Oryctolagus cuniculus: one gene and its partner. The protein of the gene in region 1 binds, or shares a complex with, the protein of each later gene. Links are inferred from orthologs where the notes say so. Each region holds a gene or a part of one and is shown on either strand. Other genes may lie near its edges. The genes, in order: PPFIA1 and PPFIBP1.

The links.
Region 2: PPFIA1 (region 1) and PPFIBP1 share a complex: the UniProt entries of both Homo sapiens proteins name them as parts of the cortical microtubule stabilization complex. The link is inferred for Oryctolagus cuniculus from reciprocal best matches to the Homo sapiens genes PPFIA1 and PPFIBP1.

The regions. Positions count from the first base shown.
Region 1 is NC_091432.1:2,222,550-2,226,820, forward strand, and holds the start of PPFIA1 (liprin-alpha-1), read left to right. Parts: upstream 1-1,179; 5' UTR 1,180-1,385; intron 1,386-2,114; exon of another isoform or gene 2,115-2,135; intron 2,136-2,330; coding exon 2,331-2,594; intron 2,595-4,271. UniProt on the Homo sapiens protein: May regulate the disassembly of focal adhesions. May localize receptor-like tyrosine phosphatases type 2A at specific sites on the plasma membrane, possibly regulating their interaction with the extracellular environment and their association with substrates.
Region 2 is NC_091440.1:124,828,074-124,831,257, forward strand, and holds part of PPFIBP1 (liprin-beta-1), read left to right. Parts: intron 1-2,305; coding exon 2,306-2,485; intron 2,486-3,184. UniProt on the Homo sapiens protein: May regulate the disassembly of focal adhesions. Did not bind receptor-like tyrosine phosphatases type 2A.

The DNA of each region.
Region 1 (4,271 bases):
CACCCCTGCAGAATCGCAGACCTAAGTGGTGGTTTTTTTTTTTTTTTTTTTTTTTTTTGTACAATTTTAACATGGCAAAGAGCTGGGGCAGAGATGCAGATTCGGGTTCGTGTGTGGTCCCTGGTCACCCAGTGCTTGTTCTAGGTGGTCTGACCCATGGAGATTCGAGGGATCACCTGGAGGGTTCGGGTGCGGCTCCTGGCTGCACACCAGCACCCAGAGGCCAGTGGGGCCGCAGCCGCTGCCCTATCGTTTTGGTTTATGAAGACCTTGCGCTCTCTGCGCCCGACCGTGCAGGGGGCGGGCACGCGTGCGTTCCTGAACGCTGGGACCCGCCACTTTTGCGTGGGATGTGGCACGCGGCAGGCGCTTTTTTAGGCGCTTGCGGAAAGGGTGACTGGTCACGCACGACTCGCAGGAGGGCTTCCCCTGCCCGGTTCCGCACCTGCTGGGCTCTCAAAGGCCCGGCCCCCGAGGGCAGCTCGGAGGTGCCTCCCACGGCGCAGGTCCTGCATCCCGGAGCTGTCCAGGGACAGGAGCGGCCGGTGGCTGAACCAGCCGTGCCTGCGAAGCCTGCACGTCCCCGCACGGCGCCCGTGAGCCTCGAAATCCGACGCTGCTGGTCTTGGCCGCCCCAGGTGCGGCATGTAGCGTCGGAACGTGGGTCTGGCGGGGCCGCCGCGTCCCGCCCGCCCTGTAAGGATCCGCCCGGGGCCGCTCCGGGACCGACGCGGCGGGGTCCGGGCCCGGCTGTCAGCGGGCGTCGGAGGTCGCGGTTCGCTCTCACGCAAGGTGGCGAGTAGCAGCGCCAGCCCCGGGAGCGGAGCGCCGACGTGACGTCCGGGGAGCTCTGGCTCGGGACCTGGCACACCGCCGGCGCGGGGGCAAAGGCCTCCCGCGCTCGCACGGCTGCGGGAGACTCGGGGGCAGCACGCAGGCGGAAGCTACAGCGGCCACCTGGCTCCGCGGCTCCCACCTGTGGCTCCGCCCGGGGACCCGTGTGGGCGGGGCGGGGCGGGGCGGAGCCTCCGCAACGCCCAGCCAATCGGCGCCCTAGCGGCCCCGCCCACTGCCTCCCGAGGCCGCGGCGCCTGCGCACTCGCGGCCGCGGCGCCCCGGGGCCCCTCCCCCGGGGCGGTGCTGACGCTCGCGCCGACGCGCCGGACGTCGGGCACGTTGACGCCGGCGACGCGCAGCCGGGCCCGCTCCTCCTGCGCTCCGCCAGTGTCCGGCCGCTGGCCGGCCTTCGTGACGGGCGGCGGGCCGCGGGGCCGCGGCGTGGGGCGGGCGGGCGCGAGCTGCCCGCGGCTGCCTTCGTCGGCCCCTGAGCTCGCCCGCAGCGAGCCGCCGCGGAGCCTCGTCGCCCGCTGCCGCCGGCCAGCAAGGTGAGGAGCGGGGGGCTGAGGCGGGCGCGGGGCCCGGGGCGCCCGGCGCCGGCCGGGCCGTCCCCGCGGACGGAGTGTCACCTGGGGGGCCGGGACGCCGCGGGGGCGCGGCTGGGGGCGCGGCCCTCGGCGGGGAGCCCCCACCCAGCTCGGCGCCCCGCTGCTCCCCGGGGGGCTCAGCCCTGGGGGCCGCGCGCTGACCGCGGCGCCGTGGTGACCCCAGCGCCGGGGGCAGGGGCGAGGACCTGTGGCCACGGCGGGCGGGCCTTGTCCCAGGGGCTCCGAGCACCCCCGGGTGCTGGGGCTTGTGCGGCACCTGACGCGGGAGGGGACGGAGGTGCGAGCGGTTGGCGGTGGCCGGCGCCCGCCAGGTGCGCGGCGCTGGGCTGCTGGCTCTCGGGGGTCGCGGTGCCCCGGCAGCCTCCGGAGCGGTGCCCGGCCTTTCCGCCGGAGACACCTAATAGCCTCTGGTCAGCTCGCCTTTCACTTTTCCTGGCTTCCTCGCTGGCCGTCCCGCGTGGAATTTCCACCCCCGCCTCCCCCAGGTTTATTTTTTTTGGGCTGTAAACTGACGTAAGCGAGGTTGACTGACCAACCACGGCAGCCGCGGAGAAACACCTCTGCCCGCCCTCCCCGGACCCGGTTCCCAGGTGCAGCCCGGCATTCGCGAGCCGACCGCACGCGTTCCCGTGCGATGCCCCCTCTCTGCCCTTCCTGCCCCGGCCCCGAGCCGGGCGGCAGGAAAGTCAGGTACCAGAAGCACGCGGAGAGAGCGGAGCCTTGCGGGCACAGCACCCCGCGGGCCGCTCTGGGTCCGCTCTGGGTCCTCGCTGGTCGCGGCCCCGGGCGTCTCTGCCGACCCCCTGCAAGCAGGCAGGACTGGGAGTGGGGACAGCCGGGTGCAGGTGTGTGCCCCGGATGACCGGGCTGCTGCCTGTCTTGCAGATGATGTGTGAGGTGATGCCGACCATCAGTGAGGCAGAAGGCCCCCCGGGAGGCAGCGGGAGCCATGGGGCCGGCTCCCCGGCCCAGCCCGACGCCGACTCGCACTTCGAGCAGCTGATGGTGTCCATGCTGGAAGAGAGGGACCGTCTTCTGGACACGCTGAGAGAGACCCAGGAGACGCTGGCGCTGACGCAGGGCAAGCTGCACGAGGTCGGCCACGAGAGGGACTCTCTGCAGAGGCAGCTCAACACCGCGCTGCCGCAGGTGAGGGCGCCCTGCGGCGCGGCTCCGGGCCGCTGTGGCCATGGCGCGGCGCGGCTCCGGGCCGCTGTGGCCATGGCGTGGCGCGGCGCGGCTCCGGGCCGCTGTGGCCATGGCGTGGCGCGGCGCGGCTCCGGGCCGCTGTGGCCATGGCGCGGCGCGGCTCCGGGCGGCTGTGGCCGCGGCTGCTGACGGTTGTGCTTGCCGCAGCGTTGCTCGGGGCCAGCTCCTCGGGACAGCAGCCGCGCCCTGCCTTTCCGCGCTCGGGCCTGGCGTGGCCAGCGCCCTCCGTCCTCCCGTCTCGCTCGGGCCTGGTGTGGACAGTGCCCTCCGTCCTCCCGTCTCCGGGTCTGACGTGGACAGCGCCCTCTGTCCTCGGGCCTGGGTGTGGGCAGCCCTCTCCGTCCTCCCATGTTGCTCGGGCCTGGCGTGGGCAGCCCTCTCCGTCTGCCGTCTCTGGGCTTTCCATGCAGAGTGTGAATTTCCTGCGGATTCTGTCCCACCGACCTGCAGTTCCCCTGAGGCGTCTGGTAGACAGACAGCTGGGCTTTGCCCTGGACTGGACAGCTGTGTTTTGTGGGTCAGGTTTGTTTCAGGAGCTGGGAGACTGGAGGTTGACCCCAGGGGAACTTGAAACAGCTGAGGCTGTTTGACCTCTCAGGGCGTGTCCTGCGGAGCTGAGTGGGGTTCAGTGGTAGGGGAAGGAGACGAGGGCGGGTGGGCCGCCCAGAGCACAGTGGGGATGCGTGGTTGCTGGGGGTCCGCGAGCTGTCTGCATGCCGCGTTCCTTATCCATAGAGGTGCCTTCGCGGTGGCTCCAGGGCGCTCTGACGAGTGAGCAGGTGCAGGACTGCTGCCCCGGTGCCCTTCTCGGCCGTCCTCGGCCGTCCTGAACACGACGAGCAGACATTCAGAGTTCCTTTTTAGCCATCGCAACTCGATGTTAGTGGTTTGTTGTGCGTTAGAGAATTCATTAAGATTTTTCTCTTTCAAGTCTTATAAACTACCAACTTTGTTTAGGTCAGATTTTAATGCCAAAAACGTCAAAGAATTGGCCGGCCCGTGTTGTGCGGGATTTTACTGTACGTGCTTGTAGGTCTTTTCCGCAGTTTCGTGTTTTGGTCATGGATACGGCACCCACGACAGTGCGTCCGACACGCGGGTGTTTGATGAGGTAGTTACCGGGTGGGGGCACGCAGGAGAGCAGGCCGGTGGCAGTGTGTGGCACACGGAGCCTCCGCGGGCGGCGGCGCCCGGGATCTTTCTGGAGAGGCCTGGTTGGCTGAAGGTGACGCCGCCGGTTCACGTCAGCGCCTGATTGCAGCACCGCCGAAAGCAGCCAGGGGACTTGTTTTGTTCCTTCTCTCTTCCTGGAATCTGGCTGGGCTTCGCTGGCTAATTGTGTGGCCAGATAAGCAAGCCGGAGAATGCTACAGAAAACATAGCTGCCGCCTGCGTCAGAAGGCTTCCCCGATCGGAAGTGTCCATCTCGGTGGATTTCACAGGCAGCGCCGTCCAGAATCAGCGCCCTCACCCAGAGCCTGGGCGCTGCCGGGGCTGAGGTCGGACGTCCTCCCGACCGCCTGCCGAGATTTGCTGGCTGCGTGTAGTACTGGGGACCTGGGAGACGTGGTCAGGTCAGGCCCGGGCTCCGCCCTCATCATGGATTGAGGACGTCAC
Region 2 (3,184 bases), on another chromosome or scaffold:
AGCACGACGCTAGCTTCCGTCTTGGCTATGTTGCCCACGCAGCAAGCCGGGGAGTGGGTTCCCCCTGGTCCTGCTTCTCCCATCCATTAGCCAGGGATACGAGGAAGGCGTCTGGCTGATTTCTGACCAGCCTCGACAGTTAGGAGTAGCTGCGGAAGAAATGACTCCTGGTAGAACAGCCGAGGACGGCGCTTTCCTAGTTCCCGTGGATTTGTGGGACATCCCCGACTCACGTGGCTCTTTCTTCTTCTAAGTCCCGTGCTGCATATGCTACCTCCATCAGTTTAATGCAAAGATGGAGTTTGCCAGCTTTTATAGAAAAACAGGGGGCACTCAGAAAGTTCATGGACAAATCAAACCAGAGAAGTGTATTTTTGCACCAAAAGAGTTTGAAACCTATGTGTCGTTTTTTCAAAATTCACATTTTCCATGAACTTTTTGAAGACCATGTGCCGCGTTCTAGGTTTTTTTTTTTACCTGCCCCCTTCCCATCCCATCTGCCTGAGCATCTTCTCTTTATTGTGTCCTTTCTCTGTTAAAAGTCAGGCTGCGGGCAGTTGTTTGGCCTGATAATTAAGGTACCTGGGTCTCACATCCCAGTACCTGGGTTCAGTACCCAGCTCTAGCTTGTGACTCTAGCTCCCTGCGAATGTGTACCCCGGGAGGCCACAGTGCTGTCTCGGTAACTGGGTCCCTCCCGGTGTGTGAGACCTGGCTTGCAGTCGCAGCTCCTGGCTTATGGCCTTGCCTGACCCTGGCCGTTACAGGCTTTTGGGGAGTGATCCCATGTTTGGGAGATAGCTCTGTCCCTCTGTGTGTGTGTGTGTGTGTGTCTCTCTCTATCCCACCTTCCCCCCTCCTTGTCCCTGTGTCTCTCAAATAAGTTTTTAAGAGTGTGACAGATTTGGGGCTGGTGCCATGCATCACTTGGTTAATCCTCCGCCTGCGGAGCTGGCATCCCATGTGGGTGCCGGTTCTAGTCCCAGCTGTTCCTCTTCCAGTCCAGCTCTCAGCTGTGGCCTGGGAGAGCGGTGGAGGATGGCCCGAGTGATTGGTCCCCTGCACCCGCATAGGAAACTGGGAAGAAGCACCTGGCACCTGGCTCCTGGCTTCGGAAAAGAGCAGCTCCGGCCGTAGTGGCCATTTGGGGGGTGAACCAACAGAGGGAGGACCTTTCTCTCTGTCTCTTCTCTCTCACTGTCTATAACTCTGCCTGTGAAATTAAAAAAAAAAAAAAAAGAGTGTGACAGATTTGGAAACCTTTGAGAGAGGTGGTTCTGTTTAAATGCCAGGCATCAGCCTGACCACCATTTCCATCCAGGCCAGCTCTCTGCTGTGGCCAGGGAGTGCAGTGGAGGATGGCCCAGGTGCTTGGGCCCTGCACCCCATGGGAGACCAGGAGAAGTACCTGGCTTCTGCCATCGGATCAGCGCGGTGCGCCGGCCGCAGCGCGCCGGCCGTGGCGGCCATTGGAGGGTGAACCAACGGCAAAGGAAGACCTTTCTCTCTGTCTCTCTCTCTCTCACTGTCCACTCTGCCTGTCAAAAAAAAAATTAAAAAAAAAAAAAAAAAGAAAAGAAAGTCTCAGGGGACTATCCAGGGTCTGAGATGGAGTTGCAGTTCCCAGTTAGCACTAAAGTTTTCTCTGCAGAAGACTGGAAATTCTTTTAGCAACAGCCAGTCCTGTTAATGGAAACAGAACAAGTGTATAGGACAGTGCAGCCTCGCCCACAGAGAAAACACAGTCAGGACCATTTGCTGTCATTGCAGTTGTTGTTTTGCTGGTTGCAAAACTTTGCATTAAGTCTTGTCTAATGAAAACTGGGGCTTCCGGCATATTTTTCATGGTGACTAAATAGCTAACTGGTGTAAGAAGAATAAGCTATCTCTCCTGAGCTTTATAACAAGGGTCACTTATCGTATTTGGGTGCATGATTCATTTGCCTAGGGTGTGCTTGTTTTTTTGTGGGTCTTTTTTTACTTTATTTTTTTCATGTAATGTAATGTACTACAAAGAGAACAGGTTCACTGTATTTCATACAGTTCTAAGAACATAATGATATTTTCTTCTTCCCTCCTTCCCTCGCTCTCCCTTTCTTTCTCTCTCTTAGTTTTTGAGACAACATCTTTTTAATTTACATTATACTCAAAGGCTAAATGCTTGCCCTTGCTTTTTGTTACTCAAATTTAATCATCTGTTCATTTTTCTCTGTGACAAGGCAAATAATTTTATCCCTGTTATCGGTATTTTTGTCATGTGAGCTCTCTCAGATATCCGGGTTTTTGTTTGATTTTCTCTTTACAGCCAAAGAAACTTACCTTCAGCAATTTTGGGAACCTGAGAAAGAAGAAGCAGGAAGATGGGGAAGAATATGTTTGTCCGATGGAGTTGGGACAGGTGTCAGGAAGTGCATCCAAGAAAGGATTTAAACCTGGTCTGGACATGCGTCTCTACGACGAGGACGACCTGGACCGGCTAGAGCAGGTGAGTGTGGCGCCGAGTGAGTCTCTCAAAGTGGCTCCAGCGTCCCGGCCCGAAGGGAATGCTGCACGTGTGTGTACTGATCCAGGGCCCAAAAGTCAGGAGAATAAAATAACAATAATAAACGCTTGGATTGTTGACGGCAGTCCAGGGACTCTCTAAGCACTTAATGTAGGATGTTCACGGAACCCGGAAAAGCCAGGGAGTATCATTAACTGAGACGCTGAGGTTGGTGACTTACCCCAGGGCTCTAACCTACCCAGCTGGCTCCAAGCCTGTGCTGCTGAGATGAACGGCCCATGTTGTACCAGCTCTGGGTTAAGGAAGTGTAGGCATTAGAACAGATCATTGGGGCTGGTGTTTGGCCTACAGCTTGAGACACCAGTCAGTATCTTCATATGCACTTTGTAGTACCTGAATTCAACCCCTGATTCCAGCTTCCTGCTAAGGAGGACCCTGGAGGGCAGTGGGGATGGCATAGGTAGTTGGGCTGCTGTCACCCATGTGGGAGATCTGGATGGCAGTCCTGGCTCTCAGCTTCAGTGTGCCTGAGTCCCAGCCCCCAGGGGCTGGCTTCTGGGGAGGAAACCAGCAAATGAAATTCTCTCTCTCTCTCTCTGCCTGTCAAATGAATAGAACTTTTCGGAGAGGTCAGGACAGGACAGCTTGCCTCCCACTCCGTGACCCTTGGCCGCCCCCGTC